Tribolium castaneum: one gene and its partners. The protein of the gene in region 1 interacts with the protein of each later gene in a biochemical or structural test. Links are inferred from orthologs where the notes say so. Each region holds a gene or a part of one and is shown in the gene's direction. Other genes may lie near its edges.

Region 1 (3,045 bases):
TCTACTTCTTCTACTTCGTAAATAAACGGATCGAAATAACCAAATAACAGAGTCTGACTGTAAAAAGTGTCTCTTTTTTTATCAACTGGCAATTGTAACATTAAACCAATGTAAGAGTTTTTCTGTAATTTTTAAACATGAAACGTATTTGTTAGCTATTTGCGTATTATATATCACCCATCACTAAACAAAACTAAACTTAGTTTAACTAACTTAAGAGCTTAACTTACTTAACTTAAGAGCTTTTAAAACTTACAGTCACCGCCGAATTTTGTATGACTTTGACACAGATGCTGCAAAAATGAAATAGATTTTGCCTGTACCGATAAATAAAACTGTTACTTTAATTTAATAATTGTATTAATTAACGCCCATTGAAGAATATCAGTTATTCGTGATTAACAATGACAATTGTTGACAATGACAATAACAATTAACATAATCAGCTTGCATTAATTATATAAATTAGTTAAGGTATTAAAAAAAACTGTATAAATTCGTAATAGTGTTTTAAAAATATAGTTATTAGCAATTAGCAAAGTTTTCACTGCAAAACTTGCTAAATAATAAGACTTCCACCTTGTTATCTCTCAAGATAAGCAGAAGAAAATCTAATTGAGTTATTTGATGAAAAATTAATAAATCTATCGATATAAAGTGCAAAACCTTGAAATATTTTTTGTGAATTGCCTGACTGCAATTTGCATTAAATCACTGTGACTAAATTTTTTAACCAGGTGATATCAAAGGAAATGTGGAAAATAACATTTTTAATTTAATGAGTTTCTACAAAATGTACAAGTTTCTCTGTTATTATAAAAACATTTGTGAGTCCAACTATTCTCTAAAAATGTCTTGAAAAATGTGGAAGTACTGAGAGGAAATAAAACCGAAACTTCAATAAAAACTCTTGAATGCACAAATGTTTGTGCTCAAATCGTCTTAAAAGTATTGAAATGAAAAAATTACGTCCACAGTTTGTGCAATAAATAAAGTGGAATCACGTACTTCTTTTTTATTATTCTACGCTTGAGACAAGGATAAATTAGAAACTGAATGAATTATAAAAGAATATCGATAACAGTATTGTAGAAAATAGTTGTAGAAAAACTAATACAAAATGAGTTATCATTATCAGTTATAATTTATAGAATTCCAAAAAAGCTCAGAATAAAGGTTACTTGGACAAGAAATAGTAGATTATGTATTTTTAATTTTATTTGTAAATGCAATCACACAGTAACATTGAATACAAAATTAAGCACAAACACGATATCACCAGTTAATTTAAATAATTTCAAAAATTATAATCATTTTGCGGTTAGGTCTTAAACTGACTCGTTGTATCTTTTATCTCAAACGGCTGAATGTATAAAAAAAACATTCGCAACGTGTTTAAAAATAGTCGTGTATGAGTGTTTTTCGTCGTGATTGAAATCGTGCATGTTTCTGTAATGTTGGTTGCATAGCAAAACCATTTCAGGGCATGACACGGGTTCGAGTCAAGGCGGCAAGAAATACCGGCCGTTGTTTTTGGAGCACTTTGACAAAAAGGAGGCGGAAGTAAGTAACAATTAATTAGTTATCAATTGATAAATTGTTTATTGCAAATTTAGGGTAACGGCGTCGTGACGCCTACGACGCTTGATGGTCCCGAAATCGTGCCTGACGAGCAACGTTTCCAAAGTCATTTTCATGTACAGTTAAACCAAGTGCCGTCGCCTCAACAGGCCCAACCTCAAGAACAAAAAGCACAATTTCATCGGCCTTTCTCAGATGGTGATTTTGAATTTGTGGGTATTTCATATGTGTGGTGAATTAATTGGGTTTGAGTGGTTGTTTTTTCAGTTGAAGTTTTTGAGTTTCGAGGAGTTGCAACAGAGGATGGCCAAATTAGATTTAGATATGGAGAGAGAAATAGACGAACTTCGTAGGAGGTATCAGATTAAAAGACAGCCGATTTTAGATGCAATGGATACGAAGCGGAAGCGACAACAGAATTTCTGAACTGTTGGCTCGTTGCAATGGAATATGGTGCTCAAAAAGTTAGGTTTTTTAATACTTGCCATTTAGTTTATCTTTGTTGCTTTTTGAGCCGAATATCGTGGTGAGGAAACAAGATGTGTTCCTACTTATTGTACTTAATCAGTTACGTACAGTTTTTAATATGTTATTCTCAATTTTATTTCACTAGATTAAAATGTTTTGCCATACCGGATGCACCAGTTAAACATTTTAGTTAATCATTAATTTTAATAAAATTGCCTTCACGACAAGTTTGAGCTTTTATCAGTGTTATTTTTGTACAGTCATTTTAACTCTAGGTTATAACCTGTACGATAAGTACGCTTGCTGTGCCTTTAGTAGTACCTAGGATTAAGTACGAGTGTAACCATATTTTTTGATCAAATAAAATTCATAACTAATATTTCCAATATATATTTACAATTATAAACTAATACAATAATTTCACAATAAAACAGTAGGCCAATCAAGCGGCATCTCCTTTCTCCTTACTGAAAGCTTGATTGAAATTAAGATTCGCTCCCTCATCGGCTAACATTTCGCTTGGTTGGCCCACAAATGAAAAATCAGTGTTAGTAGCCACAAGACTGATTGCGTTGAGTATTGCTTCGTGAAGTGAATTTTGCAGCTAATAACACCTGTAAACGGTCCAAAATTTCTGATTCTTAATCACAGCTGTACCAATTGGTGGTGATACAATAAGCACTTAAACACTAGAGTAAATGTGAAAGGCACTGTTACAATATGTTAGTGTAAAATATATTTTAGAAATTGTAAAACTAAGACTACAAGTAACCGTTGTCAATAAAATATATACATATACGTTACCAATTAAAGGCACAAAATGGAGGGATTAGTTCAGTGTGAGCATATTTATACGAGTTGAATCCTTCGCGATGCAACAAGTCTGGTCCTGGGAGGAGCAGGGGTGCATTGCACATACAGTAACAAGTAAAATTAAATAGGGATACAGTTAAGTATTCCTACCAATTAATAAAATTTTGCGAAAACATTATCACA
Region 2 (4,199 bases), on another chromosome or scaffold:
TACTTTTTCACAAGTGGTCAAAGTCAAACGCCATGAATGTTTTTAAGGTAAAAAAACGATAAAATATGCATGAGTTAGTTGTTGTTTGCTTCAATTTTTTATTATTATGACATTAAGAATGTTTACGTGTCGTGTTGATAGCCGCTTAATACTTGTTTTTGTCGCAACGGTGACAATTTTGAAAAATTCCAGGCCGCCTGTGATATGGTGTACGCAACTGTGATAATTTTGAAAAATTCCAGGCCGCCTGTGATAACGGTGTACGCAACTGTGGCAATTTTTAAAAATTCCAGGCCGCCTTTGATGTACGCAACCGTGACAATTTCGAAAAATTCCAGGCCAGCGTGATTATCAAAAAATGTAGACAACAAAGGCGCGTCGGACTTTGGAAGATAATTTCTATTATTTCATTCTCGGAAGCGGATTATCAGATATCAGAAAGTAGAAATTTCGTTTAAATTTCCCGCAAGTCGTCGCTTGTATTTGTAATCGATTTTCCTTGTACGGCATTGAAAAGCATTCCGGTTACACGCGAATGCACTTTTAACCTATGACGCATATTTGCAAATCACTAATTTTCATTCATGAGGAAATCTCATGGTCGATAATTGTTATTATTGCGTATATTTTTAGATCAAGTCGGCCGCGACTAATCCCGTCGTTTGTAACGGAAACAAAAGCCAATCGCTTTACGAAACTATCGACAACATAGTAGATATTTGGTGTTTTTTTTGTAATGCTTTTGAATTGTCCAATTACAAAGTTACTACGAAATCGGCTCGCTTTGTAAAACCTAACTATCTCACGGTCTGACGTGGCAACAGGGGCGCCGCTTCGGGGACGTTCGAGCCGTCGCGTTGGCATTCGCCAGTTTCGAGTTGGTCGTTGGTGGAAGTTTACGCTTGAGCGTATGCACTTTTAGTAGTCGAGTTGTGTGTGAGCTGAGTTGAGGAGTTTTAATTTATAAAAAAAAACAAAATAAATAAGCGAAAAGTTGAGGCAAGCTCCAGCTCGGGAGGACCTTCGAGTAAGGTTAGTGCCAGTATTTTTTTTGGGTTGGTAGTAGCACCCTCGGTGCGAGTAGAAAGTGGCCATATGTCGTCCTTGTGTCCTAGTTAAAACAATCGCACGTAAGTCGTATTTCTGGCCGAAAACGGCCCTAGAGCGCGATTTTCCGCCCTTTTGCCAGCCTGGCACCGGGTCGATATGGGCAAACCCTTCTCGATGGAGCCGTCTGGGAATGTCTGTACCATCCAGCCGTCTCTCTCGCTCTCGGTGTGAACTTTTTTTCGTCTTTCCGGTGCTCGCAGCCGACCATTGATGTGATCTCTCTGGAATGTGGTAGGGCTGGGTGCTTGTAGCGGTCGGGGAGCGGTAAGAATGGAATGCTGGAAATCGTGAATGGTTTCTGAATTCCAGCAATGTTGCCGACACTGGAGTCCCTTCGGTGCGAGTGTACTCAGACGGCCGTACGATACTCGGACACTATCTGTCCTTCTCGGCTCCGCAGGAACGCCCCACTAATAACATACCAAGAAATTCCCGAGACGAACACGGCCATAAAAGGCCAACTTGCCGACAATCGCCAAATTTACATCGAATGGCAACGCCGCAATCGATCTTTGCCATCGACAACCGTTCCCAAAACCATTCCCATTTTTGCATAGCCACCCATGCACCGCACTTTCTACTTTCTAGTATGTGCTACATTCGATTGTTTCGCTCAGTTGTCTCGGCGAACGCTCGAACATTTTCCAGTCTCGAGAGAATGGTTATTTTGATTCCAATAGTGAAATTTCCTAATTTTTACCTTCAATAATCACCATATCCCACGATTCTTAATGAGAATTGCAGCGAAATCATTATCGAAACTCTTCAAGATGGCGTGGGATAGTAACTGTTAATAAATAAAGTAACCAGTTAGGAAATGTCAATTTTATGTAACGAGTTACATAAAACGGTATTTCCTGTCGACTGGATACAAAGGATTATTTTATTTGCAATTATCGCACTTAAGTGTCATTTGCCACAGTTGACAAATTATGAAAAATCAGTAATATGCGGAAAAATCAAAACTGCTTAAAATTGTCATATGTTGGTAATTTTAATAAAAGAAGTTGGCAAAAAAACGGTAAAGACAATTACGAGCACACCTTCCCTAACCATTTTTTGCCGTTGTTTGAGCGTTTGTTTTGTTGCAGAAAGCAATGGTTGACACACTCTCGAGCAACTCCACCATTCTGCGCTCTATGAAAGACAGCAGTCATATCATCAACTATGAGCCCTACAAGCCGCTTCCCCCCGAGACGAAAGCAAGTGTCACCGAGCCGGACAACGGCCACAAAAGCGAAGCCCTGAGCGCCTCCGCCCGACTAGACCTAACTAAGGAGGCGGATCGCTTGAGCACATTCATAGACTGGAAAAGTTCGGCTGTAACTCCCGAAGCCTTAGCCAAAGCCGGCTTCTACTTCTTAAACAACCCCTCGAAGCCCGACCTTGTGAAGTGTGCCTTTTGCAAAGCGGAAATCTGCAGTTGGGAGCAGGACGACGAGCCGCTGTCCGAGCACGTGCGATGGTCGCCAAACTGCCCCTTTGCCAAAGAGAAGAGCCAGAACTTGCGCGTCCCGGCCCAAGGCCAGGACGTGTGCGGGAATGTGGAGCTGTTCCCGAACTCGGTTCCGGAGAGTGAGACGTTCCGGATGCTCCGGACGATGATCCGGCCGTATGAAGACAAGAAGGCGCGGTTAGAGTCGTTTGCGACTTGGCCGAGTTCCGCGAAGCAAAGTCCGGAGACGCTGGCTGATGCCGGGTTTTACTACCGGGGGGTGGAGGACCACACTATTTGTTTTTCGTGTGGAGGGGCGCTTAGGGACTGGAAGGACGAAGACGAGCCGTGGGAGGAGCACGCAAAGTGGTATCCCAGGTGTGAGTTTCTTGTAGCTTCCAAAGGACAGGGTTATATTAACCAAGTTCAGAAAAAAATGGCCGGTGTGTCGGCGAGTAATGTAACCAAAGAGAACGAAAGTACTGAGGAAAAAAGTGAGTGTGGTGCAGCGTCTGAAGATGGAGTGATTTTATGCAGAATTTGCGACAGATTTGAAAGAAATACCGTTTTTATGCCGTGTAAACACATTATTGCGTGTACGCAATGTTCGGATGTTATGCAAAATTGTCCAATTTGTAGAAAAGGCATCGACAGCAAGATTAAAGTGTATATATCTTAAAAACTAAATTGTAACATAATTCACTTTTTTTCTTTTCTTAAACACTTCTAGTCAATTTTTCATCGGTTGGTCTTCAATAAAACTAATTAGAAAAACAGACTCTATTTTTATATAACACCCTTCTTTCAGTACAAAGCTATCAATACCGTAGGGTTGATTGTTATCTAACTGTACATAAGTTAACTTAATTTCCAACAATACGCTTCAAATAGGTTTAGTTGACTTTCATTTGATGTAGCAAGTTCCTCACTGCAATAGCTGAAGTAATATAACGTTTACAATGACATTACTTCACTGTTTTTGTATTACAAGAATAGAATATACAATTTTCAATTCACAACGAGTTTTTTTATTACCCATCCTGCACTCAAAAAAAATCATGCTCCCACGAAACGAAAAGTAAAGACTCATTGATAATGATAAACCTCAACATGAATGGAGCTCGTGTTTTCTGAAAAAAGATAAAAATAGATCGAGAGCTTCTACCTGCACCCTTTTTTTTTTCAAATAAAAAACAAAAGTTACGAAATCAAATGTTTTCATCCGTCGATAATTTTTGTTGTTTCCTTTATTATTTCATGCAAATGGCATTTTCCCATAGCTAATTTTCTCCAGCAGCCAGGCCTCGCATTTCATTAGTGTTGCTCCCTTCACATGATCGTAAAGGTCGTTCATTTCCGTTCCACATTCACACGTTCATTCAATTTATTCAATCCCGATTTTCTCACACTTGCAGTTAATCCAATCGTTAATTTTTAATTGTTCCAGTAATCTATTATGACTCAGAAATGACGAAGCAATTAACTAGCAATTTTTCCAAAAAATTGGCCAAATATTTTATTGCAACAAATCAGACAATGTAAATCTATCTCTGATCCCAACTCTTAAGGTCAAGATGTTTGCGGCTTTGCTGACCTCTTACCTGGAATTATTTCCAACTCATTTAAAAGTTTTAAGCGAACAGAATTTAACCTG
Region 3 (3,880 bases), on another chromosome or scaffold:
GAAAAACGCGTCAATCGATCCCGTGTAAACCACCTCCGAGTGGCGTCTCCATGAGCCTTTGCCCTCCGTCTTGATTTGCATCAGCGTCTTGACCAGTTCAGCCGGACACACGAAAAGCGATTGAAAGAAGCCCCCAATTGTCCCGGCGATGAAAACGTGTCTTAGGGCATCGAAGTCGGTGTGCGAGACTTGGCGAGGTACGTAGTTTTCGTTGAAGACGTTCATTAAGTTGCCGTAAACGCCGAAAAGAATGGCGTTCGAGGGGCCGATGGTAAGTACAGGACATAGCATTCCTTTGAAGAAGCCGGGGATTCCCTCGTGCCGGAATGTGCGCGAAATGGCAACGAACAGCTTCGTGCCGAAGTTCTGTTGGCGCACTTTGATCGTGTCGAGGGGGTGGCCCACCACCACCCCACAGATGCCTGAAATTCGGGATTTTTTATTTCCAGAATGACCCACACAGTGGCACAGTTGTAATGTTGATTCTATAACATTTCAGTAGTTGTTTAAATGCAATTTCCATCTCAGAATAAACGTAATATTTAAAAAAATATAATTCAATTAAGAGCCCCCTCGTATTTTTGAGGCCCGATTTCTTAAAAAGCAGTTGAAATTACGTGCCTGTACCAATTTTCATGAACTTAATCAGTTCCGAAATGGTACAAATTCACAGTTAACGAATTCTTCATGACATAATGGTGGAGGCGCCGGGTAAATACCCGACCTCTTGGAAGCGACCCAACATTTCGAAATTTTATTATAATTTTTTGGGGTTTTGTGTGAAAAGTTAGCCTAGTTAGCTTCAACTAGCGTTCGTTAGAGAACATATTTTTACCTTTTCCGTATACAGGGTGAATGTTTATTTCCGAAATTTTCTCAGATGCAATGAAAAATTATTTCCTACACTAGTTAGTCTGTGCTTAAAAAAATTATGACATGTAATTTATAGTTAGGATAATTTTTCGTAGTCGGAAAAATCAACGACTTGACCGGAATTTGATTTGTCTAAGGATTCCAAATATGTAATCAGTTTTCATTTATCACTGCTAGTTTTCGAGATAATGACCAAAGTTTGCATGTTTTGTAATCGTCATTTACAAAAACCAGCCTAAAAGAGGGCCCCAGCCACGCGTGGCCCCCTAACCGTAGACAACAATGAATACACGCTGGAATGTCGCTAAAACGTCCATCGCGCATGCCCCTAATCTGGTGATGTGAATTTGTAAACAATGGAATTTCTGTTGTGACCAAAATGCAGTGTTTACAAGTGTTTTTCCCCATGACAAGACATAGAGTACCTCCGAACCATCCTGCAATGAAATCGGCGAACTTGAACGTCCCATCCATCGCTTGAGACGCCTCCGCCAGCCGCCGTCGCAAACCCTCATCGACTGGCCCTCAATTTTCAGCCGAAAATAGCCCGCAATTTGCACACCTGCTGACCATGCTATCGCGCAAAAACAAAGATTTGAAAACGATCAAGGAAGGGGTGGTCGGCAAATACGTGAAAAAAGACACCCCGCCCGAAATGCCAAGTGAGCGATTTTTTGACAAGTTGGACCTAACCTCACATCAAATTTTTCGCAGTCATTAACGTTTGGACAACCGAACCAAAAAGACGCCTCTCGAACCAGGGCCGTCAGTCGCTCCCCGCCAGCCTCACACGGGGGGCCAACCAGAGCAGCATCACCGTCCAGAAATTCGGGAACCAAAAAACCATCATCAGCTCTGGCCTGGGGGCGCACCAGGGGAAGTACACACCCAGCTCCTCAGTCCCGGATTTGGCCACCAGGTTTGCCAATCTGTCCACAAACGAAAACAATTCCCTTTACACGCCAAGCTCATCAGTGGCCCCACAACACATTTACATGAACCAACACATCAGTTCGTCATACAGTGACAATTCGGTGGTTCAAGCCCCCTTGAAGTGGGTTTTTTAATTGAATTTGTCGCTTCCAGAACGCCAATTACGTCGAAATTGATCAAATTTATCCACTCACTACGCAGGATAATAATTATAATAGCAGAAGTTCGCCGATTTATCAGAACACTGATGGGGCCCATAAGAGTCAAGACACGACCCCCATTTATAGCAATACGGGGGCCGAGCGCTACTCTAATCCTCTGCAAGGGATGACTTATGGTGAATCGCTCGCCCACCATTTGAGACACTCGCTGGGGCGCAATGAAAGCAGTACAGGTATTGGGTGTACAACTGGTTGCCTAGCTCGTTGTGTCAATTAATCATTATTACGGCACTTAGACGTTCTTGCTTTGATTATTTTTAAAAATTTGTTTGATTTTTAACAATCAATTATTTGCATAGTTAGGCGCTTGTTTTTAGATCAGTCTGAAGAGCTTCCGCTTCCGCCCGGCTGGTCCGTGGACTACACCCTCCGTGGTCGTAAGTACTACATCGACCACAATACCAAAACCACCCATTGGTCGCACCCCCTGGAGCGCGAGGGGCTTCCCACAGGATGGCAATGTGTCCATTCCCCCATTTACGGCATTTATTACGTCAAGTGGGTTTTTCCCCCAGTTAGACTCAAATCCAAATAATTTAATTGTAGTCACATTACGAAACAAGCTCAATACGAGCACCCTTGTCTAGTGCCTTGCTATAATTATCAGCCCGAGGTGCGGTATTTCAACCCCCCAAGAACGACACATTATCAGCCTCACAGCGTCCTGGTGCCGGCAAATCCCTACTTGTTAGAGGAGATTCCCCATTGGCTTAACGTCTATTTCAATGGTAAAACCACAATTAATTTTTGCTGTGTTAATTGTGAGTGTAACCGATTTTTTTGGTGTTTATTTTAGCGAGTCCGGATCTGGACCACAAATTAAAGTGGGACATGTTCCGGTTGCAAGACCTGGACTGTTACAACGGCATGCTGACGCGGCTTTATAAGCAGGAACTGCAGAACATTGTGATGCGGTACGAGACCTACAGGTCCGCATTGCTTGTCGAAATGGAGAAGTTTAGGAATAGTAGAAATGGGGCTGTGACTGGTCAATAAAATGTTCCTTTTTGTATTTTATTAACTAAGAAATGTGATTATTTATTCTTGTATCGCTTCAGACGCTTCATCAAACTCGTTATGGATGTCATAGTTAGTGACTTGCAGGCCTGAGACTTGTATCACTTTTGCGTCCTTAATGCCTAAAGTTCGAGCCCATTGTTGTGCTAAAGACACGAATAAACGCTTTATTTTTATTAACAAGTGTCTCATTTTACCTGGGGATAGGGACAATTCTTCCTCCGATTTGTACTTGCGGGCCCAGTCTGCATTGCCTTGGTACACCTGGTAAAGGACGAAGCCGAAGGCGTTCCACGCGGTTAACATGTAGAATATGGAAAGGCGCTGTTTCCACACGTGGGCCCGCTGCTCAGGGATCTGATTCGTGTGTCTTCTGATAAAATTACGCAACCAACGGGGGTTGAAGAGCGACATTTTGGGGTTATGTAACACGCAAAATCGGCGAGAAATAACACGTCGTGGAGTGGTTTGGGGCGAACTCTTGACGCGTTTAGTGTTTTTTTGGGCGATTCCAGCGGTTCGTTCTAGTGATAATCCCGGGTTTTTGCCATAAAATTAGAGGTTAGATGGCAGTTTCGGGCCCTACTTTACCGGCCGCGATTTGAAAAAATAAACAAAATGGCGTCCCTTTAAAAAGTATCAAAATTCGAAGTGAAATTTTCGTGTCACAGTCAATTAAAATACTATGAATAAGTAATTTCGGCGCAACGGACCCAAATGTGAGTAGAACGGGTGGAGTTTGCGGCCCAGTTTCATTGAAAAATCATGCCCATATTTGGCCGAAAGTCTAACCTAATTGTGCACTTTTTGCATCGACCGTTTTTTGAGCGAAGGTC

The links.
Region 2: of the proteins of hpo (region 1) and inhibitor of apoptosis 1, one has a biochemical effect on the other in vitro, tested with the Drosophila melanogaster proteins (2 studies listed by BioGRID). The link is inferred for Tribolium castaneum from reciprocal best matches to the Drosophila melanogaster genes hpo and Diap1.
Region 3: the proteins of hpo (region 1) and sav form a complex in vitro, tested with the Drosophila melanogaster proteins (3 studies listed by BioGRID, with this or other methods). The link is inferred for Tribolium castaneum from reciprocal best matches to the Drosophila melanogaster genes hpo and sav.

The regions. Positions count from the first base shown.
Region 1 is NC_087403.1:7,367,068-7,370,112, reverse strand, and holds the end of hpo (serine/threonine-protein kinase 3), read left to right. Parts: intron 1-1,432; exon of another isoform or gene 1,433-1,469; coding exon of another isoform or gene 1,470-1,483; coding exon 1,484-1,563; intron 1,564-1,616; coding exon 1,617-1,793; intron 1,794-1,848; coding exon 1,849-2,007; 3' UTR 2,008-2,428; downstream 2,429-3,045. UniProt on the Drosophila melanogaster protein: Plays a key role in the Hippo/SWH (Sav/Wts/Hpo) signaling pathway, a signaling pathway that plays a pivotal role in organ size control and tumor suppression by restricting proliferation and promoting apoptosis.
Region 2 is NC_087397.1:2,699,924-2,704,122, reverse strand, and holds inhibitor of apoptosis 1, read left to right. Parts: upstream 1-1,321; 5' UTR 1,322-1,336; coding exon 1,337-1,341; intron 1,342-1,419; coding exon 1,420-1,771; intron 1,772-1,936; exon of another isoform or gene 1,937-2,092; coding exon of another isoform or gene 2,093-2,131; intron 2,132-2,201; coding exon 2,202-3,224; 3' UTR 3,225-3,564; downstream 3,565-4,199. UniProt on the Drosophila melanogaster protein: Anti-apoptotic protein which functions as a caspase regulator, using its E3 ubiquitin-protein ligase activity to smother caspase activity. Binds, ubiquitinates and inactivates initiator caspase Dronc, and effector caspases Drice and Dcp-1.
Region 3 is NC_087396.1:21,519,327-21,523,206, forward strand, and holds sav (protein salvador homolog 1), read left to right. Parts: upstream 1-1,399; 5' UTR 1,400-1,444; coding exon 1,445-1,535; intron 1,536-1,587; coding exon 1,588-1,907; intron 1,908-1,959; coding exon 1,960-2,200; intron 2,201-2,344; coding exon 2,345-2,525; intron 2,526-2,573; coding exon 2,574-2,755; intron 2,756-2,823; coding exon 2,824-3,023; 3' UTR 3,024-3,065; coding exon of another isoform or gene 3,066-3,190; 3' UTR 3,191-3,227; downstream 3,228-3,880. Other genes in the region: solute carrier family 25 member 45, read right to left, coding at 1-422, 1,299-1,347; uncharacterized protein LOC659596, read right to left, coding at 3,066-3,190, 3,242-3,458. UniProt on the Drosophila melanogaster protein: Plays a key role in the Hippo/SWH (Sav/Wts/Hpo) signaling pathway, a signaling pathway that plays a pivotal role in organ size control and tumor suppression by restricting proliferation and promoting apoptosis.